Oryzias latipes: one gene and its partners. The protein of the gene in region 3 purifies or fractionates together with the protein of the main gene of each other region. This does not show direct contact. Links are inferred from orthologs where the notes say so. Each region holds a gene or a part of one and is shown on either strand. Other genes may lie near its edges. The genes, in order: ncbp3, larp1, serine/arginine-rich splicing factor 3 and mepce.

Region 1 (7,742 bases), on a different chromosome or scaffold from region 3:
AGTGGTGACTTGAACAGAGCTGCATGCCAGGCTTGGAAAAGGGCTTCTAAAGTGACACAGAGGAAGAAGGATTCAATGGATTTAGTGATTTGAAGCGATGTATAGAGCTTAGCTGACTTGTGACTATGTTCTTTATGCAATGGTCATCTGAAAAATTGTTCATCTGTTGCGCTAATGTAAAAAATAAGTGCACAATAGCTACCAGCACAATGCCAAAGAGAAAAGGCAGATTTAAACAGATGAGTCGATGTTACGGAGGGCAGGAGGGAGAGAATTCCTGAGTTTGGGAAAAGAGTGGCTGAAGGTTTGGCTCAAACTGTTTTACGGTAGTGAAGTGTGTATGGTATATATTCAGTCTATTGTTGTTTATTCCTTTATTAGAATTTGCCTTTCAAGATGAAATGTCCGTTCTAGTTCCTATATTTCTTTGAATACATTTCTCCCAAAAGTGTGACTTGTATAGTGGGATAAAAAAGAATTTAGTCAGATGCTAATTGTGACACTTAAAGATATGAGAGAGGTCTTTAATTTTGCATCATAATTTTACCTCAACTATGAAAGATGAAATGTAAAAAACAAATCTTGAAAATCACATTGTCTGATTTTTAAAGAATTGTTTTGTGAATTATGGTGGAAAATAAGTATTTGGTCGATAGCGTAAAAAAGTTCAACTCAATACTACATTTTACCTTTGTTTGCAATGACGGCAGCCAAATGCTTTCTGTAAGTATTTTGGTCCATTCCTCCATGCAGATCTCCTCTAGAGCAGTGATGTCTTGGTGCTGTCGCTGGGCTAAACAGACTTTCAACTCCCTCCAAAGATTTTCTGTGGGGTTGAGATCTGGAGACTGGCTAGGCCACTCCAGGACCTTGAATTGGTTCTTACGAAGTCACTCCTTCGTTACCCGGGCAACGTGTGTTTGGGATGGTTGTCATGCTGAAAGACTCAGCCACGTATCAGGACGTTGACTGACAGTCTCTATTCTCCAAAGTTTCTGTTTGGTGATAAAGAAACAGTGAAAAGTGACATTTCTGAATGGAAATCAACACTTTTCAAACAATGTGTGAAATGACAAAACAAATGTGTGCACCAGACCCTGCTGTTTAGTAAAATGACACACCAAAAAGAACTTTAAGGAAGGCCGTGGCTCCCAACTGATTTGATTCTTGCAGATTGTTGACTTGCAGAGCAAATACATGGAAAATGCCAGAAAGAAAGGGAATATTCGCACGGAATTTTCCAAACACGTGCTGAACGTTTTTCTTGGCTGCACGAACACAAAGGAAGGGTTACGTTTAGGGTTACGGTTGAGCTGCGTTCACACCGAACGCGACTCGCTCGGCAGACAGAGACCCGCTGTGGGATGGGGAGCCAACTGGCTTGGGCCTCCAGAACTTTATCATATTTCTCTTATTTTCAGCGAGGCAAAAATAAAAAAGGTCCCCTGATTTTTCTTCTTGTTTTTATTTTTACCCTCTCTGGTTAATGCGGGACAGCAAGCCTTCAAACTCGGTCCTAGAGAGATTAAACCAACAACAAAATCCAGCCTTGGACACACTTGAAATGCGTGCGGCGGGCAAAGCAGCAAAGTGCCTTCTTCCCTCGTCTCTCACTTGACCTTGTGCGCCCTGGACGGAGCTTGTGACATCACAGCAGCTCATTAATTCAAACCGATCGTCTTTGTTACAGTTTGATTGACAGCAGTTTAAAAGGAGAAATACTCTGAAATGCATAAATGAAATGATTACATTTGTCATAAGAAAAATGCCACAAGGACATGTCAAACACACAAAAAAAACATGATTTTCATTGAAGGGGACTTTGAGTATCGTTTCCTGCTGACGGTGGAGCTTCATGACGTCCAAACTCTGATTTTTGTCCATTCAGGAAGAGGAGGTACCACAACCGACGCATCCAAAGAGACGTCATCAAAAGCAAGAAGCCTCTGATTGGAGACAACATGGGACACACGCCGCCGTACACGCACCGGCACTCCGGTGAGAACGCCGGGGATCCGGCCCAACTCCATGAGGCTGCATTCACTGACGCATAGTCTTTAGAGTTTCCAGTTTTCAGGTTTTAATCTAAAATTCATTCAGTTTTCAGTCAATCTGAAAGGGCTTTCCTTCAACAAAGAAGCAGAATTTTCTCATAACTGAATTAACCTTTTAACACAGGAAATGTCACCGGTGAATCCTAAATAACGCATGCTCCATCATATCCCATAACTCTTTGATCGTCTACACAATGAACCTAATTCCAGGAAGCTTCAGAATCTCCTGTTTCACCTTTATGGTGTTAAAGGTCAAAGGGTTATGGTAGTTGAAATAAAGTTGGTATAAAGGCTCAAACCAAATAAAGGCGGGGCTAAAAATCTGTACTCTCTCTCCTCTCAGCTGACCTGGTCAACCTGCCTGAGGAGCCCATCAAAGAGGAGGAGGAGGAGGAAGAGGAGGAGGACGCCAGTGACGAGGACATGGACTCTGATGACAGGGTGGTGGAGTTTAAGGACAAAGGAGGCAGCTCACGTTCTGGAGGGGCGGGGCTTCGCAGCAGTGCGGAGCGATCTCCGTCTCCGTGGTCAGAGTCGGATGAGATGGACTACGACCTGGAGCTGAAGATGATCTCCACGCCGTCGCCAAAGAAAAGCAAAAAAATGACCATGTACGCCGACGAGGTGGAGAGCCACCTAAAGAGCATCCGGTGAGCCCCGCCCACCGTCATCTGTAGTCATGTGACACAGTTGGACGGGCTTTTATTGTGTAAAGCAAGTCTTCAGATGGTAAACTTTTGTCTTTAAACTCCATAAATCTTTTTTGAGGGTCAGGAAGTGAGACATGGATCATTATTGGTTTTCAGAAACTAACATTTAAGAAATTTTAATTCATTGGAATCTTAATCGAATAAATGTTAATGTTTTCATCATTGTGGTTCAGCTTGTAGGGTACTTCCTACAGAGTTTCTAAATTATATTGTTGGGGGAGTGTTCAGAAACTGCCGACTCGTCTGCATCAAGCCCGGGTCAGGATGGGTTCAGAAAAGCTTTTATTTTGACGTTTTCCTCTGTCAGGAACCGCATCGGGACATCGGGGACCCAGAGCAGAGCCAAATCCTCATCCCCCTCCAAGTTAACGGACGTCCGGCAGCTGCTGCTGGAGAAGCGGCAGGGGCTGTCCCATCACAGACAGCCCCCCCCTGTGGCCAGCGGCGGGAAGACCGGTGAGGGGCAGCCGCCGCTTCTGCCGGGGTGTGGACTCCGTCCCCTCTGACTCTACGTCTCTCCCGCAGATGTCCGGCAGCGGCTCGGGAAAAGGCGATACTCTCCGGACAGACGCCGCACCCCTTCCCCTGCCTCCCCCAGAGACACGCCCCCAAGCAAAGAGCCAGTCAGAGATGTGCACAGCAGACTTGGCGTGGCCGGTCAAGACAGAGGCGTCTTCTCCAGCTCCAAAGACAGAAAGACGGGTACAGTGTTACCGAGTTACCGTCTAAAAATAACCGAAAATCCTTGAAGTGGAATGTCAGATGATCAAAGCAGTAAATCTCCTCACTACACACTTTTCTCAGACAGACTTAAACATTCTCACACTTTGTTTCTCTCTTTTTTAAACTCTCAAAGTTCAAACCTTCATAGAAATGAAGTATTATAGAATGAAAACAAAGATTTCTGTAACGCATTCTGTACAGGAGACATGGCACTGATGAGATTGATTGACAGTGGTCTGCAGCCAATCAGATGACAAAAAACAGTACGCTGTAAAAAAAATGTAAAAAGACGGCAAAATTGCACTGAAAATATCAGAGAGACGGCAAAAGGTGTACCGCCATGTTGGGAGGGAACACAACAGCAGTCCCGATCTGACTTGCCGAACTCTCCAATCCAGAACGGAGGTTCTCACGTTCTTAATGCCGTTTCCTCCTCAGGCGACCTCTGGAGCAGACTCGGCAACATTGAGCGGCGAGGGAGCGACCACTCGGCTCCGTCCTCCTCCTCTTCAGGTCGGAAAGAAGGCAGCGGGAGAGCAGGCAAGAAAGCAGAGGGTGAGGAGAAGGAGGAGGAGGAGGACGACTCGATGCTGCAGAAGATGTGGGGCGCCATGATCAAACAGAAGCAGGAGCGCCTCGGCCACAAGGGAAAGAAGAGCCGCCTGGACAGCCTGCCGTCGCTGCAGATCGAGATCAGCCGTGACAGCAGCGACGACTCTGACGCCTGAGGACGACTAGGAACTCGGCCAGACTCTCCTGAACTTCAGAGCTCCAGCCGGGCCCAGGCGGCGGACCGGACCTGCTGGTTCTGTCATCGCGTCTGGATTCTCTCTCCTTGAAAATGTTTTTCAGTTTCCTGAACTTCTCAAAGGTGTTGTCTGATGGAGCAAAGCATGACGGGAAACTCTAACCCTGCACCTGCTCTACATCATCGCCATGCATTCCTGTTACCACGGAGACAGACTCCGCCTCCAGCTCTCTTCCTGAAGCAGAGGATCCTCCTGTGTCGGAAGAAAAGTGTGAACTGGATCTCCTGGTGCTGAGTTGGTTGTTTTTTTCTGAAATGTTGTGGGTCCACAGACTCCAAGCTTCATGAATCCTCATTAAAAAGATGGCTGATGTTTTTTATTCCTGATGTTTCTTCTCTGCACGGAAAACCTGCCAGGTTTCAGCCCAGATGGCAACTCCACCTTACGCTCTCAGGCCGCGCTCCGCTTTGATTCTCTTACAGTGCAGAAGTTTCTTTAGATCATTGAAATACTTGCTACTAAATAGACCAGTGAAGTGTACAGTATTTCTATGAAAAGTACTCACAAGAACACCTGATTCAGGCCTGGATGGTCAGACTCACTCTGTCGATGAAAGAAAAACCACACCGGCACTCGGAGAACTTCAGACTGACTGAAGTAATAGCTGCCACAAACAGCGAGTAGGGAGACATCTGCTGGCTGAGCACCAGGAAAAGCCTAAATGCTGCCTATTGTCTCTATGAAGCCCACCTTTGTGTTGTAAATGTTATTTTTTAAGAGGTTTATTGAAGTCATTCAAAGCTTCTGGTATGTTTGATTTTATTTTACTGTAACACATCAAAGTAGCTGCATTTTATTCCTCAGCACTGATGTAAACTTCAGCTCCCCAAGTCTGTTCTCCTCAAACGACACACCAAGATGACAGGCAGAAGCTCAACTCAAAAGTTGGAGTAATTGCCGCCGTGCGTGCAAATCGGTCCTTCAAAACTTCATGCTTGGAAAACCAAAAACAGCCTTGTGTGAAAGAAAAGGCTCCACAGGTGGTTCTTTTAGCTGCATCACGTCTGTGAGGCAAACACTCAGAGAATATGAGTCAGAAGGAAGCAAAAAAAAAGCCCAGCTGTGAATGATAATGAACACAAGACTTCAGCCATGCGGGTTGAGTCGGTCACTGAGGGTCTGCTGAGTTAACAGAGAACGGGAAGGGAAGAAGAAGCTGACAGCAGTAGCAGCAGCTTGAGGTGAAACCAACCACCTTCACACAGTAAATGATGGTCTCTGTGACCATTTCCTGTATGTTGGGCTCATGTCTGTCGGCTCTGGACTTTGATGATAACTTGAGCCCAACGGTCCCGACAGAGCTTGACTTGTGGTTGCACACAGTGGCGTGAAGTCGTAGCAAGGCCCCGCACATGGGTGACTCCAACCACCACCTTTTGGCCCCCGGCCGCTGCTCTGCCTCTGACGGGAAAAAAAATAGATCTAAGAAGGAAGCTTTGCATGTTTTTGTGCTTCTGACTGAGACTTGAGCAGATGTGATCCACTGAAACATCATATGGTGCCCAGCCACCTATCAAACAATCTGGTTCAAGGCCTCCGCCAAGCAAAGGTCGAAGGTGTCCAACATCTTGGCTGATGGGATGGTGCAGACAAACGATGCAACGGTGTTAGCTTCATGGAAAGGAATATTAGATGGTGGTGCTCCCAAGCTTCAGACCTCTATCTGTGTTCCATCAGATATTTTAGAACAGTCTTTGACATGCAACGATGACACGTATTTGTCGTTGGTGGAGGACTAGTAAATAACATGTATTAACTTGGATATCCTGCCCAGACAGACTAGACTGCAGCACATGTCTGTCTGAGGACCGTGTGTTGGTGCAGAGGGCCCCAGAGGTCCTGAGCTTTTGACCTGGGCTCCGACTTAAAGGCTGATCCTAAACCAGTTAGTTAGTTAGTTAGTGGAAGTCAAAAGTCTTGTGCCACATATAACTATTAACAAAATGGTTTGATGAAATGATGAACTTGTTCACCAACTGGTGATCCAACCAAAGATGCTCTCACCACATTGGCAGGATTTTTTGAATGAGGTGAGTTTGCTTAGAACTCCACACACGGCACACGAGTGTTCAGCCCCACGAGAGGCCCATGCTGCAGCTGGTGCAGGTCCCATCGCTCCGTTCAAAGTGTCAGATTCTCAGTGCTGGATTGCTCTCTCTGTCTTTGCTGCGTCTATAGCAGCAAAGCTGGAGGCGGTATTTCCTGCAGACAGGCTTCATGCTGCTGAAAAGCTGAAACCGTAACCCCTTAAAGAGGCTCAAAACCATCCTCTGCAGCCCCTTTCTTTTCATAAGAGTTTTAGCCCACTGCCCTGCTGTTGCCACTGTGGTACTTCTCTTGTAAAAGTGTTCCCAGTTGTCTTTTATTTCTGATTTTACCACTTTAATCCATAGTCACAGACCTGGGTTTTTTTCTAGGACATACAGTAGTTTCTGCAGAGCAGCAGGAGTTCATTAGAAATACACCTCTGAGTTGTGGGCGGGACAGTTGGCGGGGAGCACTGATCTGTTTACATGCTCTCCCCCTAGCTTACAGGTCATCGCAACCCCAACCTAGCCTTACCGGTGCAACAAAAATGGCGCTTGATATTGGAGTTATTTAGCCGTACAGTTTAGATCCAGATTCCAGCTCGGATGAGGAAAACAAAGACTGTCACGGATCTATTTGTCTGACAGTGGATGCATCAGAATGGAGCAGAGCAGGGAGCTTGTGGCCCGCTGAGTATATTTTTACATCACAGATAAGCTTCTTTTCAAAAGTCATTTATTTGTCTCTTCCTGATTCACAACAATTCGAATAAAAAAATACTCAGAAATACAATTTTAATCTTAATTTTCTTTATATGTGTCCCCCATCGTAAGAATAAAGCCCACAAGAACAAACCATAACTTTCAGTTCAATAGAGGTAAATCCAAACAATTATTTCCCACTTCAAAATTGACATTGTGTGGAATTACCTCTGTTTTGGGATCACTCTTCTTTCCATGTGATTACTCTGCATTTAAGTAAAAAAAGAAGATAACATAATGTTATCGATGCCTAGATTTAAACACACAAAGCCTGACTTCTGTGCTTGGACAATTTTAAGGGTTGGTTGGCTGCTAACTTTTAAAGTTTGCAATTATTAAACACTGAAGTTGCTGCTTGGGTCATTTGGAAAAGGACTGCGCATCTCAACTGTTTACTGCCACCAGCCTTGGTGCTGTCAGGGACGGTGATTTAGTTGGATAGTTAGATAAACGGGTCAATGCCATGGGCAAAACCAGGCTTTATTGTCTCTGGCTAGCATCCTCTGCAGCAGGAATAAAACGCTTCATAAATGTGAAACAGGCTTTGATCTCCTTCATGTTTGGACTACTATGTTCTGGATTCTAGTCAATGCTAAAATGCTTACCCCATGTGCTATCCTATGGGGTCCAGATGACCCGATCCTTACATTGATGTGT
Region 2 (7,742 bases), on a different chromosome or scaffold from region 3:
GTAACATTCAGTTCAGTAAACTTTATTAGTCCCAAAAGAGACGTGTATTGTTAGCGAACATTTCAGTAAAACGATCCATGCTACTCCTTATAGAGATTATTAAAGTACATTTTTTAATAACATCAGTTTAATAATGTGTAACTTGAATATCTGAGCCTGGTTCCTGTCAGAGTCCAGCTCGTTGAAGTTTCTGATTGGACGACAGCTCAGTTTGGGAGAAAGGAATGCTGCATGTCCTGAGTTGAAGCGTTTTTGTGGAATCCTTCTTCTGCTGAACTAACGTCAGAGCATCTGCTTTGTTTACAGAAACTCACCAAAGCTGTAATGACAAACTTCAGGTGTTTTCTGGTCTGACATGGTCGCTAATAGACGCCTTTCCTCTGTAGGGTCCTAAAAAGACCAACGCCAAGAAGGACTCCAAGGAGAAGAGGGAGAGCAACGAGGAGAGCAAGGAGAACCTGAAGGCCAAGTCGGACGATTCGGGAGAGGAGAAGAACGCAGACGCGTCTCAGAAAAACGGCCCAAAGAAGAAAGGTTCGGCTTTCAATCGATCTTAACCGTCATGGGAAACTTTCTGTTCACCTTCCAGGCTACATTTGTAGCTTCACCTACAGCTGTGTGTTTGAGTGGAGAAGGTCTCTAGGGGTGGAAACACCTTAGGTGTTTAGGGTTCAGTTAAATAACTGATTTATCCAATTGGAAAGTGCTAGATCACTTCATTAAATCTATTTCTTTCTTTCAAAGTTTTTCTTTTATTGTTTATGTTTTCAGATACAACTATTTATCTTTAAGTTTTAATGTAAGAATTTATCATTTTATTAGTCAGTGTTCCACCTTCAGTTGAAGTCACTAGCTGTATAACAATACGGTTTTGTAACCAGTTTATTAACAAAAACTAAAATTTGAATGATTAATCAGCAAGTTTCATTTAATCTTGACCTGAATCTAAGCTTGTCCTGTTTTTTTGGTAAGAGTCTAGGGATGTGATGTGTATCGCGATACATCCATAGACTGTACCGGAACAGTTTCTAAATATTTTTTTAAAAAAAAGTATGACTACCTGAATATTAACAGGCCTGTCATTGTCATAACGTGGTCAAATTCATTTTATGTAATGATCAAAACATTAAGCACTGCAACTGTTTCTCCTTTACGAGTTTCTTTTACCAAAGCCAATTCACAGTGCTTTTATTTTGGTAAATTAAGAAGATATATTTCTCCTTAAAGGCAACATTCAACACTGTCCGATTGACACGACAAAATATTTTTCAGTGTAAGAAAAAGTGCCTTAACCGATACGGTTCTGTAGGTAGTACATGTCTCATGACAACAAAGGCTGACTGAATGTTTAACACAAGCTGGTTCTGGTTGAGATCTAGTTGCTGTGGTGCGGCGTAGAGCTGCTCAGAGAGACTCGGTGTCGGGTGACAAGTCAGACACTGAAGGAAGCCTCATAAATTAAAATAAACAGTTTCTTAACACCATTTTAAATCCGATATAAGTATCGCCAAATGAAATATCGCGATATATCGCCAAATCGATTTTTCCTACACCCCTAGTAAAAACCAATTGCTAATGGTAAACACACAAAACAGTCAGAAATGCAAACACTTCGGTTCCTCCTCATGAGTCTCATCTCTTGATGCTGAACCTACGCAGAAAAGTTTAATTCGAAACATTCAAAATGTAAAGTTCATAGACTCTTGCTGGTTGTGTCTTGATTCCTTCACTACTTTATAGTGCGTTCACCATTTTGTTCAAACTTACAATTCCAATAAACAATACCCTAGAAATTTCCCAGAAGTCTCTGCAAAAAGCCATTGATCATCAATACTCACCAAATTGGTGAATATAGACCACAATGCATTGCGTTTGAACAATTTTTGTGAAGAAAAAAAAAGTATCATTTAGTTTTCATCATCAGAACATGATAGTTTTAGTAAAGTGTTCACATTTTTTAGGTTTTTGCTTCAGGAAATCGGTGACGTCAAAGTTTGCTTTAAAAAAAAAAAAAAAAAAAAGAAGTGAAGAAGGTGTCAAAATGGCTGGTTAAAATCCAGGGCACTAGATGGTCCCACACTACAGTTTGGAGTAGATGGGACTTCATGTGAGTGTTGTGGTGCTTGCTGTATGAAATGGCAGGGATTGTCCTGATGGGACAGTCTGAGAGAAGCTCCAGCTCAACTGAGACACTAAAAGCTTTAATGGTTGGAAAAATGAACTGTGAAGGATTCATGGATTCAGCAGAGGGAATCGGTTCTCCATTCTGTTGTCGGCGCTCAGACCCGTTTCTGAGGAAGACGGCGCAGCGGCTCAGACTTTTCCTCAGTTGGAGACAAACGTTCTGAAAGTTTTGACATATTTGGTGTTCGTGTTATTAGAGAAAAAACATGGACTTTGCGTCCTTGGAAGTTCAATGTCATTATTGCTCGAAATATTTACATGAACTCCATAAGAGGAGCGTGAACTCAGGTTCACGCTCCTCTTCCTCAAACAGATGAGCTGGTAGAAGGTGGTGATTGATCCCTGATTGCGGATCTGAATGAGCAGACTGGCTTTTCATCTCCAACAGAATACTATGGTGGCCCAGAAGTGCGAAAAACATTTCAAAGATCAGAACGGCAAAACAAATTTTTAAAAAACAACAATACATTTAAAAAGACAAAGCTAAGTTCCAGACACCAAAACGTGAAAAAAAAAAGCAAAAGTAATTTCCAGAAATCCAAATGAAATGTTAAAAATGAAACAGCATAAGAAACTGGAGAGGGTAGAGACGATGGGACATCACTGATTGGATGGTGACGTTTGTCCATCATTTAAATTGAAAGTTAAATGGCATTAACTGATACTGGTATCATCATCCAATCAGCCATGTCTCATACAGTGATGAAAGTCTTCCGGGAATTCCCGGAAATCCGGGTTTTTGAGCAAACCGAACGTACTTTCCGGGAAATAAAGACCTGATCTCTACGGACAAATCGCTTTCCGGATCAAAAAATGGTCTGAAATCAGCTAATTTTAGCTTTATTTTCTATATTTCTCCGCAGATCGCTTCCTCTATGGTCGTGGCCATCTCTCATCTTCCCGGCCTAATTGACCAATGACGGGACGTTTTAGTTGCTTTTGGATGCGTCGACGGGTCTGATTGGCTCTGTCTGCACCACGTGGTCAGCGTGACTTGCTTCCCTAGAGACCAAAACTGGCGGACCCACGCTAAATTTTCACAAACACACCTGAAGAGTTTGCGATCAAATTTGTGTTAAAATAATGGCAGGCATCGTCATTATTGAGCGTGGTCACGACCTCAGTTGTGAGAAGACGATAAAAAACAAATTGAAGTGGTCTTGGCTGGAAAAAAAAGATTTTTAAGTTAGTGTAGGTCAAATACTTTTTTGTGTAAAATAATCTCAAAACCACATTTTGAAATAATTTCAATTTTAGTTTTGAGTTTCAGTTTTTATTTTGAATACATTTCTCTATCTAATTTATTTGTATTTCCTAATAAAAATGATTTAGTTCAGTATAGTTGACATTAATTATAAGTATTTGATGGTTTGGACCCACACTCCCTTAAAAAATAATGTTTACAATGTTTAGTTTAGTTTTTATGTTTGTTTTGATATTTCCCAGATTACTTAGTATTGGTGTTAAAGAATTGATGTATTATGTTATAGAATTATAGTTTAAAGCAGATCCCATATTTTGATGTAGTTATACTTTGAGAAAACAGTGCAAGTGGATGTTGTACATCAGTCATTTCTAAAGCAGAAATAATGTATAAATAACTGAGGTATTTTCATAGAATATAATAGTTACTGGTGTTCTTTTTGCCATTTGGGGCTTTGATGTTACTATATTTTAGCAATTGTATGTTTTGCAGCTTTAAGGAAAAGCGTAGATTGTAGGATTGTGTTACTTTGAGCAATTTTCCAAATTCTTTTTTGGGACCAGCAAGTCCTTAATGGAGAGTCAAACTAGGGGTTTGAATGACAAATCATGATGCTCCAATTAGTCTTAGTTTCTTGATAAAGAAGTGAATAACTAGCCGCCAGAATGCACCAGAATGCATCTAAGACCACGTATTTTTCCAAAATTTCGCTCTGTGCCCGCCATATCGCTCAAAGAAAAGTTCAGGGATTTTTTCCTTGCCTGACTTTCATCACTGCTCATAGTACCTACCTTTCCAGGTTCTCATTGTGTTTTTTGTTTTTCCACATTTCTTTTTGGTTTTCCGAAATGTTTCTTCAGTTATTTTATACGATTTTGTTTTCTAAAAAGGTAAAGCTATGTTTTTTAAATGTGTCTGGCTTTTTAAACTGTCTCTGTGTTCTTTAAACATGTTTCTGCATTGAGTGGTTTGTAGATGCCACCGCAGAATAGCAACATGAAGCGGCCTTGTTTTTATTTGCATTTGCACTTTTCTGATTTTCACTTTCTGCTCAGGAACCTGAGTCGGCCTCCTTTTCATTCAGGGCAATCAAACGGCTCTGACTGTTTGAATGCTTGCCACATAAACTCATTATGCTTGGAATGACTCATCATTCAGAGGCACGTGCTCTGTCACTGACTTCAGAAAGCTGGTTCAGGACGCCACCTGCTGGCCGGTCATGGACCTGCAGAACATTTTTGTTTTCAATCGGGATAAATTCATTTATTTAGGTAGCGATTCCATTCATGACTCAAGACGATTCCCAGATCAAACTACAATTCTTACTTTACAATATGTTTTGTTTGAATGGTTGCTATGTGCATGTCTTTTTAAAACTCAAATATTAAATCACCGTCATTTTTACCTTTTTTTTGACCAGAAGATCAGAATCAACAAAAAACAACAGGAAAAATAAATGGTATTTATCACTTTAAGGAGTGTAACACTCTTTTTTTGGTTAACTTAAACATTAAACAAAAAATCTTTTTCAAACAAATCCTAAAAATGTTCCAGGTATCCTCAAAGTTTTACTGACTAACTAGAAAACACCTTTCACCTCATTTTTTTCTAACAGTCATGTTTTATGAACCTTAGCTGACGCCTGACTGCAGTTTCATGATTCCACATCACTCATTGATCATGAAATCTGTGTAGTTTGCTTTTTTTCTCACATTCATTCAATTTTCATTCTATTTTTTATTGAAATTGTCGACTGTATTTAAAAATCCTTTTTTCAGAACTTGTCTCACTTTTTAATTTCTAATAACACTTGATAGTCTTACTTTGAAAATAAGGACCTTCACCCATGCTTTACTTTGAATTATTTACTTCCTGTGACAGTAGCACATACTTTTAGCTTAGTTAACATACTAAAAATCCAATATTATTCTGCAATTTTAGAGCAATAATTACATTACCTAAAGTGTATTTTTACTTTATCAACTTTGCTAATCAGCGATCTGGGACGTCACAAATATTCATTTCCACATTTTCTAGAACATTTCCAATATTCAAGTATTCGGATGCTAAATAAGAGTTTTAAGACGTTTCTGCCTAAACCGCAGCTAAAGCTAATTTCTGAGGTTTATTCAATTAAATGGACTGTATTTATTCATAAACATTTCATATTTGTAATTCTTAAATATATCTTAGTGAGTATACTGTATTGTTTGGCTGTTTCATCATATTTAAATGACATTGTGTCAAACGCACAGAAACCTGAACCGTGTTTTACATAGAAAGCATTAAACATTTTACTGAGCTCTTTGTTATAAAAGATTAGTCTAAACGTTTGACAAAAAATTCCATTTTCAAAAGGTAATATTATACTAACTAAATATTGGAATACTTGTAAAATTCACCTCAGGTATTTTTAAATTGATTTGAATCTCCAGGAAAAGGTTTTGCTGTGTTTTTGGATGATTTCTTTTTCATGTGTTCTTTGTGAAATGTTGTTTTGTTGAGCGTCGCCTCTCATCTCTGTCAAACAGCAAACAAGCAGAAGTGGGTTCCTCTGATGATCGAGGTGAAGTCCGAGGGTCCCAGAGAACGCTCCGCCTCCAGGAACAACAGCAGGCAGAACGAGAACCCCCGCCTACCTCCCAACGCTCGCAACGACCTCAGAGGTCAGCCCCGCCCGCCCTACGCGTCGCCCTCTGTGCTTTTGTGCGTCCACATGGAAGTGTGAAGGAGGAAGTGTGTGGTTGTGGGTGTGTTGAAGCGGCCGCCGGCTTTGTCCGCTTGTTTAAACTATCAGTCAGTAAAATGCTGGATGGATTGTTTCAAGCTTTTAATTTGAAGGGTTCGCTGTGGCCGATGCTTTCACTGAAGGACGGTTGCTCTCTTTTACGCAGACTGGCACAGTCAGAAGCACGAACGGGAGTGGCACGACGACCACGATGAGGTGTCCAGCGTGAAGAGCGAGGGGGCGCCGTTCCGGGGTGGGTTCAGAGGTCGTGGACGCGGACGGGGAAGAGGCCGGGGCCGAGGAAGAGGAGGAGGCAGAGGTAATCCTTTTCCTCATCCTCTCTGCTGATCAGACTCAAACATGACGCTGCGGCGCCAGCCTCTCCTCTCCAACAGCTGACACAAGCGACGTGACTAACACTTACATGTGTTTACGGGGCTTTGCCCTGCTCTTTGACTCGCAGGTTCTGCAGTCAGTCTGACCTGTAAAGCCAAAGTCAGTCAGTCAGTGAGCGAGGCGTCCACGTCTGTTCAAATGCTTTCAATGTTTTAAATGGCAACATGCCCTGAAGGGGTTAAACCCCAAACATGATTAGTTCAGATGGAGATGCTCCTGATGCTCCTTTGGGAAAGTTGGTGGTGGTTGGATGGATGCACCAAGCGGCTCCTGGAGCTTCCTGACCTGGAGGCTTGATGCAGAAATGATGAGCTTCCATGTCTCTTCTCTGATTGAACATCTTGTGGAGAAAAACCCGCACAGCTCTGATCTGCGGCTCACCGCTCTGACATTTAGTCTGGACCTAAAGTCAGGCTTAAAGCTTCTGGTAAAACAGCCATTCTCTGTAGTTTATTTATAGTTCTGTGACATCTGGAAGCCCAGAAGAGAAACAGAAAGTATGACTGGCTGCTAAAAATGACTCATGGTTGTTTTTCGTCCAGAACAGCTGAGCAGGAAAAACCTTCATTCCAAAGCTGCTTCTTTTCACGTTCTTTAAAAAAAAAAAAAGAAACTTTTTTGTTCTCCTCACTTTTTTGCGCTTCTTCCTTAAGCGGCCTGTTTCCACAGGAGCGTCTCACTTTTGTCCAGACTCTGTGGTTCTTTGTTTGGATTATTTTTTGTTGACATGGAAGTGAAAGCCGGCTGAACAGGTGACGACAAAAATACTCAGCAGCAACGATTTTCCCTTTTAGACGTGTTTATTTCTGATTTTCAATAGAAAAACGCTTCGTATTTTAGCTTCAGGCTGATCAACTTTGTTGCCAAACTGTCAGATTTGACTGTTAAGTTAGAACCTTTTTCTCTTTATGGCCTTTAAAGTTCTAAAACTACAGCTGAACAGTTTTTACACCCAGATTTTTAAAACAAAAACATTTTGTTTTTATTCTGTTCAGTTTCAATTGTTTATTTGCTACTAAATACATTTAATTTCCATTAGGATATTTCCTATAAATGTGGTTTTTTTCTGCTTTTTAATGTTTTATTGCTTGTTTTTGTTGTTGATAAACCAGAGGATCAATTCTTTTTTTTTTTTTTTTTTCAAAATTGTTTTTATTGGATTTTAGAGCAGCAATATTAAACACGTGATAACAATGATTACACTTTTTTTTCCTCCCCCCATTGAAACCT
Region 3 (8,290 bases):
GGGAAACTTTGAGAACTCTGCGTCCCGCGCGCTGCCAGCTCACGTGGACCGTAGCGCGAACCGGTTCCTGCGTGTAATTTTAAGGTGGGAAAGCTTCTGCCTGAGAAAACGACCCCAAACTAATGCAAGTGAAACTAAAACCGTATCTGAAACAGCTCATCACTGTGGCTCATTTGTCATTTTTTAGTTACATAACAGCTTCACACAGGTAGACCAGCATGGAAGCAGGTTTTACTCAGGAAAAAAATACATTTTAAAACGTTTACATGCCCTTCTAGGTAGTCAGGCAATAAAATGTATTACAAATGTTTTTATGTTAAAGTTTTGGACTTTTACAAGACCAAACAGTGAGTTTTCTTTTACTCAATCTGGTATTTTATCAATACACCCCACCTAAATGGTTAATACTTGCAAATAAATGTAAAATAATAGTCTAATTGAATAAAAATGTATGCAATGTATAGCTGGCCACATTTTTGAGTCAGTGGAATTCAGCCGTATGGGAGCCCTGTTGTGGGGAAAAAAAGAGAGTGATCACAAAAACAGGTCATTTTTTAAATCAGTTTTTAATTGAGACCAGTTTACACAGTATTAAACAAAAGAATAACAATGTAAAACTTGAAAAGCAAAAATCAGACTTCCGTTTCAGTTTCTTTAAATCGGTTCCACAGTTTTTCCTTGCTGAACTGAGGGGCAACAAGACCACCGCTAAACATGTGAATGAAAGGACTACATTGAAAATAGATCGGCGTTGTGAGCGGAGCACTTCACATCTCTGGAGGTGCGTGTCAATCAAAAACAGAAGTTGGCGTTCGTACAGTGGAAACAAAGAAGAATGTGGGAGGGAGGGCGTCGTACATTCATGGACAGGAGAACAAAGACGGCAGGGATGGGTCAGAACAAACAAGCACCGTTGAGACGCTCAATGCACTCAAAACAACCCCATCTGTAAAAAGAAACATAATCTAAAATACTCGATTGCTATAAAAAAAAAAGAAAAACAAAAAGACTAAATGTCAAAGCTGAAGTCCATTGAACGAAAAGCTGGAGCCGGTCCAAACAGCTCCCTTAAAACCGGCGGTTTCTTCTATTTCCTGTCGTTTGACCTGGAGCGGCTGTGAACAGGAAGAACCACCAATGAGTTAAATCAAAGCATGTTTATCCTCAACACTTCAGGCTGAGATCAATCGAGGATGGCAGCAGTACCTCCTGGATCGAGAGAAGGACCGAGAGGGTTTGTGGTTCCTGTCCCTGGAGAGGGATCTTTCTCTCCTCCTGTCTTTGGAGAAAGACCTGAAAAAGGAGAAACCATCATGACGGTTTGCTTTTCTGTGACACAATCAAGAGCAAAGTGCACACGAGTTCGCCTGAAATTATTGTAGAATCACTGATGTCAGAGATAGAGAAATTCATGAGTGAGATAAAAGAATCGAGAGAATGCAGACATACCTGCTCCGGCTGCGGCTGAAGCTTCGCCTACGGGGAGATCTGCACAAGGAAAAGACAGCTGGTGAGCACAAAGACATTTGGTTCTTCAACGAAGCTCCACATCATATGACTTCTACCATAGACTACCTCAAACAGCCCTTTGTTGTCGCCAACAAAAACCAGAGATGAAAGCCTTTATTTCCAGGAGGGAAAAAAAAAATCCCCAAAGAAAATAGAGTCACTGACCATAAAGCCAAGCCCTCAGAGAAAGCAGAAGATCAGGAATCTCTGCTAACCTAGCCCACCACACTACTCAGGTCACATGACTACTCTAGTCAGAAAAAATGAATAGGGGTTAGTGTGTCCTAAGATGAAGCCCAACCCTGCATTCACACCAAACGCGATTCACGCCTCAAATTCGCAGCTGGATGCCCGTCCAGAATTGTGTTGATAAATTTGACGCCTCCGCCACGTATGGGGGAGGAGCTACTGTCCAAATTCTTTAGCCCGACGGCTACTGGGAAGCATTGACATTTCTTTTCCAATGCACAGAAGACACGGTTGACGTCAAAATTTACATGGAAAAGCTCCACAAAAGCATCGGTAATCACGTCTCATGACATCACTCAACCTCACTTGATACGGCGAGCTCGGCCGTCCACCGCAGGAGCTTCGTCTGAATGACTTGTCGTCCGAGGGGGAAAAATGAAAATAAAATTAGAGGAACTTATTATTGTGTGGGAACAAATAAAGACACAGCTCAGACGGAAAACTATCAGATTCTCCATTTCGGTTTTGGACACAGCCCTCAGATCACGTCATCACAGGCCTGAGGCAAGTCCCTGGGTGGTTAACGAATTCAACGCCAACGTTTAGACATTTGAAGTCTGGATGCACCGCCCGAGGCGCCGCTGCCGAACCTCAGATCGTGTCAGCACAAAACTGGACGCCTTCGACGTGTGAATCCCATTCGGTGTGAAGATAGCTTAAAAAATTACTGAAACAGGCTGCAAATTTTTCTTGTGCTAAAAAAAAAAGAAACAAATGTTGTAAACTGCTCTGTGTTTGACTAATCAACCCCCCCACTGACCCGTTTACCTGAAGCTAGCCTTTTTCCAGCTAACAGAGTTGTGACTGCTGTGACCTACGATGTGCCCAGATCCCCTAACATCAGCACCATCAAGCTCCTCTGACAGCAGGCTCCATCTATCTGATCACTCCCATTGAAACAAAGACTCACATGGTGGATGACAAAGCTAGAGTTTAAACAATAAAAGTCTCTTCAAACCAGCTGTCTCTTCACTTTCAAAACTGAAATCAGCAGTGTACTGAATGAAGCAGGGAAACTTACTAGTTTTTTTGGATTTCAACAAGCTAGATATGACGAAAGGAAGGCAGACTGCCGGCCGCGTAGGTAGAATTGGCGGAATAGGAGTGGACAGATGCTGCAAGGTGATTAGATGGCAGGCAGATGGGGGCTGGTTGTGGCTTTTTTCCTGCTTTAATTGGTAAGCTGACGGCTGCTGCTGGTGGGTTGTAGACATTTGGGAACATTTTACGCTGATTGGTCGGGAATGTGAAGTGGGTGGCTGCCCTTTGGTTTAAGGCTGAAGGAGCAGGAGGTTGAGAACGGCATGCTGAGGAACCAATGGGCTGGTGCAACCTGACGACTGGCCAAGCCTGGGTCATGTGACAGCACCAGCCAAGCTGATTGGGACACGACGGTCAGCAGTCGCGTGATGCTGAAAGAGGACTAGTTGACTGAGGGTGGTGAGAAGAGGCATGGTGGTGGTTCTGCAATGGGTTTCATTCTTATTAATATAGATGAAAAGTAAAAAAAAAATATAAAGACATTTGGCAGTTTTACCCCTCACACCGCCCGCCCCAAACTTTATACAAATTTACTTCTTTTTCCAAACTAAAAACTTTATTTATGACCTCTTGTCACTGTCAAACTCCTAAACAAAGATTTGGGTGTGCACACGAAACACACACAAAAGGACTCTGGCTGTTAAAAGCCAAAGTCCCATTCTACACAATGTACTTTTGACAAATATTTGAATATTTTGTGTGTTTTCCTTGTTGCACAAAGTAAGCGCAGACAGGTCAACAGTCACCAAAAAAGAAAGAAAGAAAAGATAAATTAACAACACAACAACCCAGACTGGAAACCCAAAAGCAGTTCTCAGGAAATGTACTGTAAAGTAAATCACATAAGAGGATATAAAGCTAAGAAATCCCTTCCATCAAAGAACCCCTGGGTTACCTTCTCCTGGGTGGCGGGCTGCTACGCCGCCTGTAGTCGTCCCGTTCCCGCGGCCGCCTGCTCCACGATGGAGGAGCGCCGCGACTGCGGCTGCGCTTCTCCCCGTTAGACAGCTCCACGCGCACCCGGCAGCCGCACAGTGTCCTGCGACAACATTCACGCCTGTCATTCATTTCATACCAAACGCTGATTTCTGTGGAATTGCTGGTGGCCAGACAAACCCGTTTGGGAGGATTTTGCGGGCCGTACCTACAAAAATCACACAGGGAGGGACGTACCTTCCATCCAGTTCTCGCACCGCATCCGTTGCATCTCTGGGATCTTCAAACTCTACGAAGGCGAAACCTGGGGGGTTCCTGGCCACCCAGACGCTACGAAGAGGTCCGTAGTAGCCAAAGGCGCGCTCCAACTCGGTTTTGTTCCCATTGTTGCCCAAATTTCCAACGTAGACCTTACAGTCCAGGGGACAGTCACGGTGCATGATGGAATCTGGAATAATCAAAACCACGGGGTTATAAACACAAGGATCAGCTAAAAATATAAGAAGATGATAGATTACATTTCTGGTTTCAAATCAAGCAATTCTACTGTAGTCGACTGATCGGTTTCGTGGATGAACCAGGACAGACCAAACTAACAGTACGGCCGGAGATCCGCCTCTGCTCTGCCACCGATGATAATGATGCTCCAAATACCTGTTTTTCAATGAGCCACAATAAACAAACGAAGATTTCGATAAATATAGTTACAAATGTTCTTACTTTGGTGGGCTGGGTCTAAATACGCATCGAGTTTCCACTACACGCGATCATCATTTAGAAAACTGATCCACATTTCTACCAAAGTTAGCATAAAATGCTAACTTTAGCCACACGATCGTGTAAAGTTAGCCATAACCGGTAGCTTTAAGCTCACACTTAGCAACTCTATTTCAGTTTTGTAGTTTGACTTTTTTTTTAAACACACAGACTTCACTAACGGAGAAAACGGGTGAATAAAAGCAGCTAAAATGGCTGTCGATACTCCGCGGCCTTCTCCTCCTGCGGCGGCGGCGGGTTCAACACACGACGTGATCAGACAATGGCGCACGCGGCTGCTTCCTTTAGCGCTAAAGCACGTGTCTACGGCGCTGAAGGTCCGTGAATGTCTGCACTACCTGTACCGGAGCCGAAGGAATTCACCGCTGAGAAGAACTCTTTTTCACGTGCACCCGTCTCGCCGATGCACTGCCTCCAGCCGACGGTGGAAAATGGCGTGACGGAGAATACGTTCGACTGTAAAAAGTGACCAGGATGCTGCACCGCGAGGGGCGGGGCTTCTCTGTGCGCGCTCGCGAGCGTCGACATCAAAAGCCAGTTCGGTGTTCCCCGGGACAACGCCGAGAAGATCACTTCAGCACATTTTAAACCGGTTTAGCCACAGCAGAGGCCTGTTTCACAGCAGCCAATTTACGCTGACTGTTCATTTCCGGGTTTGTTGGTTGTATCAAATTCTCCAAAAGATACATGGAGAAAAAATATTTGCAGCTGTTTTCATTTATACAAATAATTACAAATTGTTGATTTTTTTTAAAAATTTCCTTTTATACTTAAATAGTGGTTATACACAAGTCAAGTTTATTTGTAGAGAACATTTAAAAAAAAGACAATACAAAGGGCTTTACATAAAACATTAAAGGAAACATAAAAAGGTATTAAAGGAGTGATCAATAAGTAAAAAAAGATTAATAGAGCTGAATGTAAAGTAATGTGGATGTAAACTTTTGCATAAAACTAATCAAATGCAGCTGAGAACAGGTGGCAGTTAAAGACCAACAGCGATGAGAATTGTGTTGTTAGTGTTTTTAAATGTTCTTGTGGCATTTTTCTCATGTTGGAGGACATTTATGAAGAAAATTAGGCCTAAAACTGCATTTCTAAGTATTTCTTCATTCAAATCGTTGTGAACCAGGAGCAGATGAAAAAATGTCGCAATTCAGTACTTTAGTCTATAAATGGATCTTAAAGAAGTAAAAAAGAAAAAAAACAGTTTTTGAAGTTTTAGTCATAAACAACAACAAAAGCATGAATGTCAACAATAAGGAAAGAAAAAAAGAAAGGAATGCACAATGTACGGAACATCACAAAAGCAAAACAAAAAAATAACAATGAGCTGCAGAGTTTATTAAAAAAATTACCTTTTGAAATATTACATTTGTTGAAATTTCTTTTTTCTTTTTTATTTGTTTGATACTTTCACTATATTTAATTATTTCATTCAAAAAGTGTTCAAAATCAAGTTTAGAGTTTGACCATTTCCTTTTATATATATGAAATTTCTCAAAAACAAAATAAATTGTGTTATAAAAATAAAGTTCTGCTTCATGTTGTCATAACAGCCCAAAATGGTTTGTTTTTCTGAAAATGTGATTGTTTTTCCAGTTTTATGACTAATGTCATTTCCAACGTGACTCCAAATCTGTCCAATGTTCTTTTAAAGACTATAAATAATGTGGTATTCTGCTGGTTCCTGGTGTCGTCCTGCTGTGGCTCAACATCTGTGGCTCCAACCAGTCCCCTTCACCGATGCACAGATGGTCCAGGATGGTGCTGCAGGCAATGATTTTCCCGCGAAGGTTGGTTTTACTTCCAACGCCCCCAGAAATACTGCTCTCCACCTCGTCTTCATCTCCACCACAGAGCGTGCCTTGGAGTGGTGCTGGTTGTAACGGGCCTCAACCGCATTTCTCAGGGGTTCCCTGTAGGGTGTCTGCAGCGTGATGGGATGAGCAATGCAGGGACACCCACCATCACCTAAAAGGATGTATCCTTCAGGTGACTATGTTTGATTTGTGTAAACTGGGCTGCTACGCTGAAACCCCTTAATCATGGCCTGATACTGGATATCCAACAAAAATATGTAAAAATTTGGCATTAGAATAAAATGTTAATATTTATTGGGTTTTTACTTTGGAAAATTGGTTTCGTCCTAGTCGGTGTTAAAGTAGAAGTAGTTCGCCTCCAGACCAGGTGGTGGCGGTAATGCGCTATTCTGTTTTCTTGTCAAGCGCCATATGAACAACACCCGAAAGAGAAAAGTAGTGAGCACGGGTGTCCGAATTGCTTTTAAAATCATGGGAACTATAGAGTGCCGCAGTATATAGGGTTTTAGTAGTTAGAGATTAGGGTGGGAATTCGGACACAGCACTAGTCTCTCCAGCGTGTCCTGGGTTTTCCCCTGGGCCTCTGCTCAGAAATTGCCAAATTTTGAAATTAATTCACATGAAGAATTAGTATCTCAGAGAATTGAAAAACTGTCAAAATGATTTTTTCTTACAGCATCTGGGTATGAAATGAATTACTTTCTTGAATTGAGCATCTTGGTAATTCTAAATAAAATACGTAGTTGGAGATTTTTTTTCTTTAGTTGGAGTTTTCGATTCCATCTGGCCTTGAACGCAGCAGTGACGTAGCCGCCAAGCAGACAGCTGGTTCCCGCCCACAAAGTTTCTCAGCCTAATGACAGCTACGACAGCGGGGGAACAACACGACTGGAGCCTCAGCGGAAAAACGGAGCACAGAACTGCTTTCCTCAGCCACAAACCACGGTCTGGCGAGCCAAATGCCCATCTGACAGCTGCTTTTTGCTGCATTTTGTCCGCGCATGATGATCTAAACAGGCTGCCGTCAGTTGCTGCGTTCGAGCGGGCGGCTAGCAGCAGTGAGTCGCGCGTGAACTTGTGACGTTTCCTGACTTACAGGTTTATTTCGGTGTCCAGGTGAGGTCACGCAGCCGCGAACATGTCCGAGCCGGCCGTGGAGGCGAAGGTGGAGGTCAAGCAGGCGAGCAAAGAGGTGAAGGAGAGTGAAAACGCCGCGGAGAAGTACTCTGCCATGACGGTGAGCAAAAACAGCGAGATGAACATGGGAGAGCTGGCTTCGTCAGTCTTCAGCGCGGTGCCCACTCACAAACCGGTCAAAAAGGTAGGACGCTGAACCAAAGTCCCCCTGAAAACCAACCTGCAGCGACTTCCCACTGACTCTCTGCCCAGCTGGCATCTATACATGTTGTGTATGCACGCTTTATGTGGTTGTTTTTGTGCTTTAATGCATCTTAGTAAAAAGCAAACAAAAAACTTTTTTATATTAGTCAGAAACATGTTTATTACAGATGAAATGTTTGTCATTACTTGGGTGAAATAAAAGCGTGTAGTTCTGCTGAAGCTTCAGATTTCTGCATTATATTCTGTGTTTGCAAAATACAATATATTGACAGGGATGGGCGTGTGTGTGTGTGTGTGTGTGTGTGTGTGTGTGTGTGTGTGTGTGTGTGGGGGGGGTCCACTCCATGACTGTACGTCAGCTGTTTTGACTGAATGTGCAACAGAAAACCTCTCTGGACATTCAACCATTACTGAGTTCAAAGGTTTGTTTTGGTTTGAAATCGCCGGACCTGAAGAGCTAAAGGCAAAGAAACAAAGTTCCAAATCTTCAGGATTATATTTGCGTATCTATATTTTCAGTCAATCCAATAAAACGGACATATTCAAAGTCTTTTTTTTAAGGTATAATAAAGCGTCTATCAAATATAAAGTTGATCATTTCAGTTTCACATCCT
Region 4 (8,432 bases), on a different chromosome or scaffold from region 3:
AAGAGAATGCAGCTTTTTAAACGAGGGGGGCAGCTCTGATGGAAAGTCATAATCTGTGTGTCAGTGTGGTGCACGTTAACTGGTGGACCACCTCGTCAGTTCAAATGAGGTAGAAAACTAGTTTTGCAGTGGTTGCAGGGGTGATATCACAAATCTGACATACTTCCTTTCATTTTTTTTCCACAATTGTGTTACCATTAACAGTTTACTCCTATTTTAACAGCTAAAGACTTCAAGAAGATTACTAAATGTGTTTTCTTTGTTAGGAATGAAGTAGTTACTTTAATATCTAACTGCACTTGCAGAATACTTAGTTTGACAGTTTCAATGTTTTTGTCGCCTTCATTCTCCTTTGCAGCATTTTTTTAGGTGTTTATTCAAATGTATGTTTATAATATCAATATTAGAAAAGCATCCCACACTGTTCACATTTGTCTACCTAAACTCATAGGAATCATTCGTAAGTTCAAATCAGGCAGGTCATTTAAAAGGCAATCACTCCCGCTTTTGATCCCACGTGAAAGATGACACAATCACCACTTTGCTGACCAGCAGCCAACGGTCACTCACAGTGGCACAGAGTGTGAACTCACAGAGTAGACATGGGGGTTGTTCTGATGTGACCGCACACGGGACACGCGAGCCGGCCCCTCCCTCTGTCACACGCAGGATAATGACCAGCCGGCTCGTGCTCTTCACAGAGGGCCTCAAGAACCATATGTGTTCACCACTTTCTGCTTGGACACACACAAACAATTGAATATGTCCAGAGCGCTTGAGGCGCAGACCCTGAGGAAGGGCAGATGGTGTCCGGGATTGAAGACCGCACCCACATTACCATGAGAAAAGAGGGTGACAGAAAAGGAGGGGGACAGGTACCCTCTCGTTTTAGTTTTCTTCCATAGAGACTACAAAGGAGGGGTGACTCATTAAACCGGAGAGTCTGTTGCACTGATTTGAAAAGCAATTAGGAGCATGCTCCACACTCAGACTACCAGAGATAATAAAACACCCGTTGAAACATTTTTTTCCCTTTTTCCAAATGTTACTTTGTTATTTATTTTTATTATATTGTCTTCCAAAAAGTTTTATATTAGCATAATGTTAAGGGTTAGGGGAAAAATATATCAAACTTTCTGCATTATTAATATTACATGTATAAGTCACTGATAGTCGTTATTATTGTATTATTGTTTTAAGAATTGATGCAATGATTTGAATTTCTGTTTTTGTGGAGTTTTGTGGGGTTTTGTGATAGCCATCAGAACCAGGCCTACAGTACAGAGAGATAACACTGATGTTACAGCTGCATTCAAGCATTTATTGAATATTACTGGAGGATTTTACTCTGGATAAGAATTTACTTATGAACTTGAAATGTTCGATTGACCACATGCACATAAGCAGTTTTCCCTCTGGAGGGCATGCAAACATTGTGCTGGTGCCTGTCACAATTACAGTAACTCAACATATACATCCAAAGTTAAGTGATATTTTATTTTACAAATCAAAATCGAGTCTGTTTACTTACAACGATGAAAGGGAAAACTAATATAGCCTTAAAAAACGCGTAAAAATTAAATTCTGAAAGAACATCCAGTGTTAAACGCAGGATAAAACTGTTTAGAAAAATGGTAAAAAAAAAAGATTTGATCGCCCCCTTGTGGCCATTCAGAAAACAGATGTAAAAGGTCACTGAAGCAACATCAAGGTGTCCATGATGGCAGTCATATCTCACACTAACACCCAAATAGACTTAAATACCAGAAATACTTCATAATTGTGTTGGAAATATGAAGTATGTAGAAGAAAACAACCCTAAAGCTTATGTGTACAACTGTAGTTGTACACTTTCATTTGACCTACAACAATAAAAATACATAACATGTAGAGTACAAAAAAACATGCTACTGCAAGAAAGAATAGTTTATTGTAGTCATTGATTTTTTTTCTTTCATTTACCTGTTACTGTACCTTCCATATATTTTGCCAATTTGTTTTTAAAAAAATAACTATTTTGATTTTACCCTCAACGTAATAAAGGCTGTAAGACAGAAAATCACATGGCTTGATCTATAAACAGTTGAGAGTGATGATTTTCAATCAAAATACAGGGAGAGCTTTGTGTAGCAAATGCAAAAAAAAGGGTTTGGAAGAAAAAAAAACAAGTTATTCAAAGCAAATATTTAATGTTTTCATTTGCTACTTAGAAAGTTGTGCTTGTGTTAGCATGAATATCACTTCATGCGTGGTAAAATGAAAAATTAATTGTGGTCATTTAATTTAGAAATAGCTGTTACATCAGCTAAATGTCAAATTTGAGACACTTTTTAAAAATGTGTTAAAATGTCTTTTGGCTTCAAACTAAGCATTTCAGGCTGCTAACTGTAATGAATTTGCTTGAAAGTGTTGAAATTTGCTGCCGTAAAAGAAAGCTGTTATAAATCAAGAAATAGCCCTTTACAAAAAGAAAACAAATGTAATATAAAATGATGAGAAAGTTCATAACTCCTAAATTCACTTTATTTTCCCAAGTTAGATAGTTACAAATATTACAGGAAACTATTGTACTTTCACAGCTTTGTATCAGACAGCATCTCACAACTGTTTGGCCAATTTCTTATAAGCAGCGATCATGCATTAATGTAAAAGGTTACATCAATCTGAAATTCTGCTAAGAATCTTCCTTTCAAGAAAATCCAAAGTAAAGTTGTGAGCAGGTTACTGAGGAGGCCACTTGTGGATCTGTTCCATGACTTAGAATTAAGCAAAGGTTATTCATTTGACTGCTGCTGCAAAAGATTAAACAAATCTAAACACACACTGTTGAGGTGTTTGACAGTCAGTATTATTTTATACTCTCGTTCAATTACAGATCTGAAATTAAATCTATTACTATTAGAAATTTTGCTTTTTCCAAACTTTTAAGCACTTTATCACATTATTTCACTTAAAGGACGGACAGACAGACAGACAGAAGATAATTAATGGTATTGCTATAATTTTTTTCTCTTGACAATAAGATTTATTTTATGCTTTAAAAAGTGCTACTAATATACTGAAGATGAGAGATTACTGTTAAAATGATGGATGAAGGATGAGGTGGTGGGAGGGTGGTCAGGGCCGCAGAATTGCTCAATGTGGACCTACTTTGTGTTGTTGGGCATCTGTGCCTTTATAGTCCCGTTTTTAGACCAAAACAATGGCCAAGTTTGTTCATTAAAATGTGTTTGCTGACTGTCATTAAAAGTTCCACTCGCTCGCGGCCTCTTCTGGGATTAGGGGTCTGAATCTAATGGCAAAGAGTTCCCACTACCTTGCGCGAGCTCACAGATCTCCGCCCCGGTCACGTTAAGCTTACAACTCGAAGCCCGGATGCGCCGCCATGCCGACTCTCGTCAGCGAATGCTGTCATTTATTCACCAAACTGTCCGCCTGGAGTTGACCGAACAAGTCGACAAGGCAGTGGGGGAAACAAGAGAGACCTAGTGGGGTACAGGCCGTGCTTTGCGTGTAAACCGTGAGCGCCGTTGGGCTCGGAGACACTGGGGTGCTAGCTAGGCTAACGTTAGCTTGAGTGGAAGCAGAGCGGGGTGGAGACGGCCCGGCCGGAGGCGGGGAGAGCACCACCGCGGGGTGACACTGGGATCCTGACGGTGACCACACTGTTCGGCGGCCATCTGGGACATAGTATCACTTTCCCGTACCGGACTTGGGATTTGTTTGTTTATTTTTGTTCTGGATTCACCCGTCAGCGCATGAAGGTGGGTACTTGGTCGTTTATTTATCACCACTGTTGCTCCAGAGCTAAACGTTTAGGCGACGTTTTCAGAGCTCTGGCCCACGATGGAGGAGCTAAGGGCTAGCATGCTAACCCAAACTACTGTTCCAGACTCTGACTCAGAAACTTCTCAGGTCAGCAACCTCCGAGTGGACACGCTTCAGATGTCAGCCTGTCAGGAGGGCAATGCTAACGAAAAATCTGCCGCGGACCGTAGGACCTTTAAAATTAATATAATAAAATGCAACACTCAGCTAAAAACAAAGTAATTTATTTACTATTAAGAAAATTATATGTTTTATATATTCAATATGCCCGGATTCTCCTTTATGATTTTATTTGCTGTTCGTTTTGTCCATCTTATTACTTTCCTGACTTAATTATGGAGGCCAGAATCTGCACACTGACTCCCCAGATGACTTTTAATGCATGCAACCATAAAGAACAGATTGAAGTTTCCTTAAAACAATGTCGATGAATCTCAAATCAATTCTTTTTTTTTTTATCAATCATAGATAATGCAGTTTGCATGATTTTAAAATAAGGCTAAAACCGAAAACACTGAAAATCCAAATATTTTGTTTGGATTTTTTTGCAAATGACATCATCATGACAATATCCTACAGTTTTATAAAACCACTTTCTGAGAACTTCAAACTTTAGTTTTGGTAACATCCAAATCTATTTTTTTAATGTAAAGCTGATAATGAATTATGAAGTTGCAGAAATGTTTATCCAGGAAGTTGTAGATATACAAATATAGGATTGTCATCTTTTTTTTTTTTTTTTTTAAAAGTTAACTCTTCAATTGAAAACAACAACAAAAGCATTAACCTTTCTTTTAGGCTCTAAACAGTAGGAATAGTGGAAGAACAAACATGTTTCTTCTACACAGGCACAAAAACAATAGCAACAACAATAGCAACGTCACATCTTAAAGGTGTATTTTTGGTTTTGGAGAATATGATGACCTTCTGTCCCTTCTCTGTTAGTTTAAGTTTGAATGTAGTTTTGTTAGGAAGTGCATGAGGAATATTTGTGCCTTCTAATCAGGTGGCACAAATGCTATAAACCTTATGTATCTCTGATAAGGTAGAGCAGCAGAGACGGGTGGAACCTCCCTCTATATGCTACCATGAACCAAGCAGGAACAGTGTGGTTAAAAAAGAAAGATGTTTTGTCTGTACTAGCATTTTTGACCAAAGCATGTTGCAGATGACATCCCAAATTATGATTTTACTTATTTAAAGTCTATTTTAAAAAGTGTTCTCAGTGGTCTTTTAATTAAAATTTTGTCGTTTTTAGTCCAAAAAAAAACAACCTATATCATTATCTAGGATGAATAAATTTGTTGCTTGTCGTTGTAGGTTTCACATCACAGCTTCAAGCTTTTTCCAATGGCATTTTTCATCTGCCCCTGATTTGGAACAACTGGAATAAAGGAACACTCAGAAACAAAATTTTTAGCTATATTGTCTTTATACTTGTCCTCCATTGTTAGAAAAACGCCACAAAAACTTTCATCAGATTAGGTATTTAAAGTTTTTGTTGGCAAAAACATCAATTATCATTGTCTTTTTTTTTTGCATTCTTTGTAATGCAATTAAACAAAAATCTACCTATCGGTTGTTTTGGCACTTTTTTGGAACTTAATTTAATGTTTACGGTGTTTTATTCAAGGGATTATAAGAGATCAGATGGTCCTTTAACAGCTGTATTCTTCCTTGTTTTCAGACAAAGGACAAACAAGTTTCAATGAACAGTTCTGGAAACTAACAGAGATGTCTGTCGAGGAGGACGCCATAAAAACTGGCAGTTTAGAGGCCAGGTCAACGCCATCTCTGCAGCTCTCAGACTGTACTGGAGGTTACAGCAGTGTGTCCGTGATGATGGAGGAAAATGCAGCCACGCATGACTTTGCAGCTGCCTGTCCTGTCCCGGGCACTGCAGCCTCACCAAAGCACACGAGCACAGACAGCGCGGGACAAAAAGCCAGAGGGAGCGAGAACAGCATCAATCGCAGGAACAGCTTCCCTCACTCCAAACAACAGCAACAGCAAACGAAATTAACCAAGCGGCGCTACACAGCCAGTTCTAACTTCAAACATCCCACATCGAGCAAGAGGAGACGAAGAGCCATCTCCGAGAGTGACTCTGTCCTGCCCACCAACTTTCTCTTGGGTGGCAACATTTTTGACCCGCTTAATCTGAACAGCCTCCTGGATGAGGAGGTCAACAGGGCACTTAACGCAGAGACACCAAAATCCTCTCCACTTCCTGCAAAGAGTCGAGATCCAGTGGAGATCCTCATTCCGAGAGATATAACTGATCCTCTGAACCTGAACAGCGGGATAGCAGACAACTGCTTTTTGGTGTCCCCCTACAAGAGCGGAGGAAGAAGAAGGCATCGCAACAGACATCATGGTGGGGGTGGTGGAGGAGGCGGAGTTGGTAGTGGGATTCCAATAACGCAGGCGAACCACTCCGAATCGACAAAAAGTGAGGTCAAAATGAGCTCCTCCACACAACTTTTAGGTACGCAAGGCTCTTGTTCGGTTCTCGATTCTTCTAAAGAGTCCATGAGTTTCTCTAGTGTCACGGCAGATTCCCACGAGAGCACAGCTGAGAACGCAGCAAGCGGCAAAGATGAGACGCTGTTTGTACCTGTCGAAGAATATACCTGCCCCCTGTCGGGGGGGCCAAGCCACCACGCCGGAAGACGCAGACGAAGGCGCAACTCAGGCAAAATTGATCCTCCTGTCACCCATTCTACTCCCAGCGGTAAATTAGCACCAAATGACAAAAGTTGTGGTACAGGCGGAGCACAAAATTATTTTCACACACCAAAAATTGGTCCCAAAACTGGAGGGGGGTCACGTTCGTACCAGCAACCTCACAGTCAGGCAAAAGGACACCAAAAGAAGTTCCAGTATGGAAACTACAATAAATATTATGGTTATCGCAACCCGGGCAACAGTGAAGACCCGCGTGTTCGTGTATTGCGTCCGGAGTGGTTTGAAGGTAAAGATGTGCTGGACTTGGGGTGCAATTCAGGTCACTTAACACTCTACATTGCCAAAATGCTGCGGCCTGCACGCATATTGGGGCTCGATATAGATGGTGGGTTGATCCATGCAGCTCGTAAAAACATTAGGCATTATCTGTCTGAGCTGCAAACCCAGGAGGCCAGACAAGCTGCTAAACAGGAAGAAAGAAATGACAAGGATGTCAGCACGGGGACAGACGAGAAGCACAGGGACACCGAGCGCAGAGAGGAGCACTGCAAAGCAGAGAGAGGACAAAGAGGCACTGCGGAGGCTGAGAGTGACAATGGCTTCTGTCACACAGATGATGTAGGGACTCCAAGGCAAGATGACAAAACAGGAGAGACAGGACAAGGAGACTGTGAAAAGCAAAGCGCTGATCAGTCAGTGAGCTGCTCCTTTCCCGTGTCTCTACGGATCTCCAGAGGACCCATCGCTGCACCTCCTTTGACCGAAACACCCACCCCTCAGCCCGGGCAATTTCCTGCCAATGTCTCCTTTATCAAGGTACGTTGATGTTGGGCAATTCCATTTTAATCTTCGTAGTTTTCACGTGTTTCTAATGTCTTAGCTATGTCAAAAAATCACAGAAATGTATTATTCTGCTTCCAGACTTCAAAAGAGAATTTGCACATTCTTCTTGTCTACATGTCAGTGTATATAATGAGGATCTTTGTTTGTATGAATGTCCTCCATTGTCTTCATAGCTGTTGGAATCTTGGCTTTTTTTTTTTTTGTTCGTGTTAATCAACTAACAGGAGCATGCTAAGTCAATTAGCAAGTCAGCACATATGTGGCTAATCTAATCTAGTTGTTATGGAAACATTAGTAGTAAAAAATAACGACTCATCTATTTGTACGGACAGTATTTTAGTTTCCTTAGAAGACAGCAGAAGTCAATACTTAATGAATATTTAACAGCATAAAATGCTGCTTCCACCAAAGTGCTGAGACCAGAGACTGGAGAGTCGGGCCTTCTTGTTCTCACCTGAGATCATTGTGAGGCTGCAGAGTGCCACAGTCTCTGCCATCTTGGATGCAGTGTTTAAGCTGCTGCTCACATCAGTCTTTTAACTCCTTTTACTACAAGTCAGATGCTCATGCAAGTACTTGAACTGCTGTTTTGTGGTAATCCGAGAGAGCATTTTGCTCCACCGTTTAAAGAAAAAGAGCATGCAGAAATAACACAGACACTGCAGTAAAGGCATGCACCATTATAACTAGACAACTCAGTCCCTCCTGCAGTCAGTCTGAAGTTACGTTCACACCACCCTCGCCGAGGCGCGTTCAAGCTTCCAATGAAGAGTCTATGTCAGGGGTGTCAAACTCATTTTCACTGAGGGCCACATCAGCATGGCGGCTGTCCTCAAAGCACCAGATATAACTTATACATGTAACTAAATGTAATGAAAAATAAATGTAACTACTCCTTAATGTTAAATAACTCATTATTTATTTATTTATTTAAACTTTTTAAATTGACAATAACAGTTTCATAGAAAACATATGTTTGTTTGTTATTCTGGCATAAATCCTTTTAAATTTGATTCTGACAGGTTAGGTTATATGAACAGTGTTTAAGTCCTAATGTATAGTTGGTCAATCAG

What was found.
Region 1: the proteins of serine/arginine-rich splicing factor 3 (region 3) and ncbp3 purify together in Homo sapiens (co-immunoprecipitation; 3 studies listed by BioGRID and IntAct, with this or other methods). This does not show direct contact. The link is inferred for Oryzias latipes from reciprocal best matches to the Homo sapiens genes SRSF3 and NCBP3.
Region 2: the proteins of serine/arginine-rich splicing factor 3 (region 3) and larp1 purify together in Homo sapiens (co-immunoprecipitation; 3 studies listed by BioGRID and IntAct, with this or other methods). This does not show direct contact. The link is inferred for Oryzias latipes from reciprocal best matches to the Homo sapiens genes SRSF3 and LARP1.
Region 4: the proteins of serine/arginine-rich splicing factor 3 (region 3) and mepce purify together in Homo sapiens (affinity purification with mass spectrometry; 3 studies listed by BioGRID and IntAct, with this or other methods). This does not show direct contact. The link is inferred for Oryzias latipes from reciprocal best matches to the Homo sapiens genes SRSF3 and MEPCE.

Annotation. Positions count from the first base shown.
Region 1 is NC_019872.2:24,113,357-24,121,098, forward strand, and holds the end of ncbp3 (nuclear cap-binding protein subunit 3), read left to right. Parts: intron 1-1,888; coding exon 1,889-1,998; intron 1,999-2,397; coding exon 2,398-2,704; intron 2,705-3,071; coding exon 3,072-3,220; intron 3,221-3,289; coding exon 3,290-3,466; intron 3,467-3,925; coding exon 3,926-4,215; 3' UTR 4,216-4,615; downstream 4,616-7,742. UniProt on the Homo sapiens protein: Associates with NCBP1/CBP80 to form an alternative cap-binding complex (CBC) which plays a key role in mRNA export. NCBP3 serves as adapter protein linking the capped RNAs (m7GpppG-capped RNA) to NCBP1/CBP80.
Region 2 is NC_019872.2:3,463,042-3,470,783, forward strand, and holds part of larp1 (la-related protein 1), read left to right. Parts: intron 1-386; coding exon 387-534; intron 535-5,919; coding exon 5,920-6,054; intron 6,055-6,282; coding exon 6,283-6,435; intron 6,436-7,742. UniProt on the Homo sapiens protein: RNA-binding protein that regulates the translation of specific target mRNA species downstream of the mTORC1 complex, in function of growth signals and nutrient availability.
Region 3 is NC_019863.2:2,320,320-2,328,609, forward strand, and holds serine/arginine-rich splicing factor 3, read right to left. Parts: upstream 5,061-8,290; 5' UTR 5,041-5,060; coding exon 4,851-5,040; intron 4,184-4,850; coding exon 3,973-4,183; intron 3,839-3,972; coding exon 3,695-3,838; intron 3,223-3,694; exon of another isoform or gene 1,489-3,222; coding exon 1,450-1,488; intron 1,294-1,449; coding exon 1,207-1,293; intron 1,116-1,206; coding exon 1,088-1,115; 3' UTR 548-1,087; downstream 1-547. Other genes in the region: S-adenosylhomocysteine hydrolase-like protein 1, read left to right, coding at 7,474-7,656. UniProt on the Homo sapiens protein: Splicing factor, which binds the consensus motif 5'-C[ACU][AU]C[ACU][AC]C-3' within pre-mRNA and promotes specific exons inclusion during alternative splicing.
Region 4 is NC_019872.2:14,590,454-14,598,885, reverse strand, and holds the start of mepce (7SK snRNA methylphosphate capping enzyme), read left to right. Parts: upstream 1-3,289; 5' UTR 3,290-3,764; intron 3,765-5,515; 5' UTR 5,516-5,562; coding exon 5,563-7,332; intron 7,333-8,432. UniProt on the Homo sapiens protein: S-adenosyl-L-methionine-dependent methyltransferase that adds a methylphosphate cap at the 5'-end of 7SK snRNA (7SK RNA), leading to stabilize it.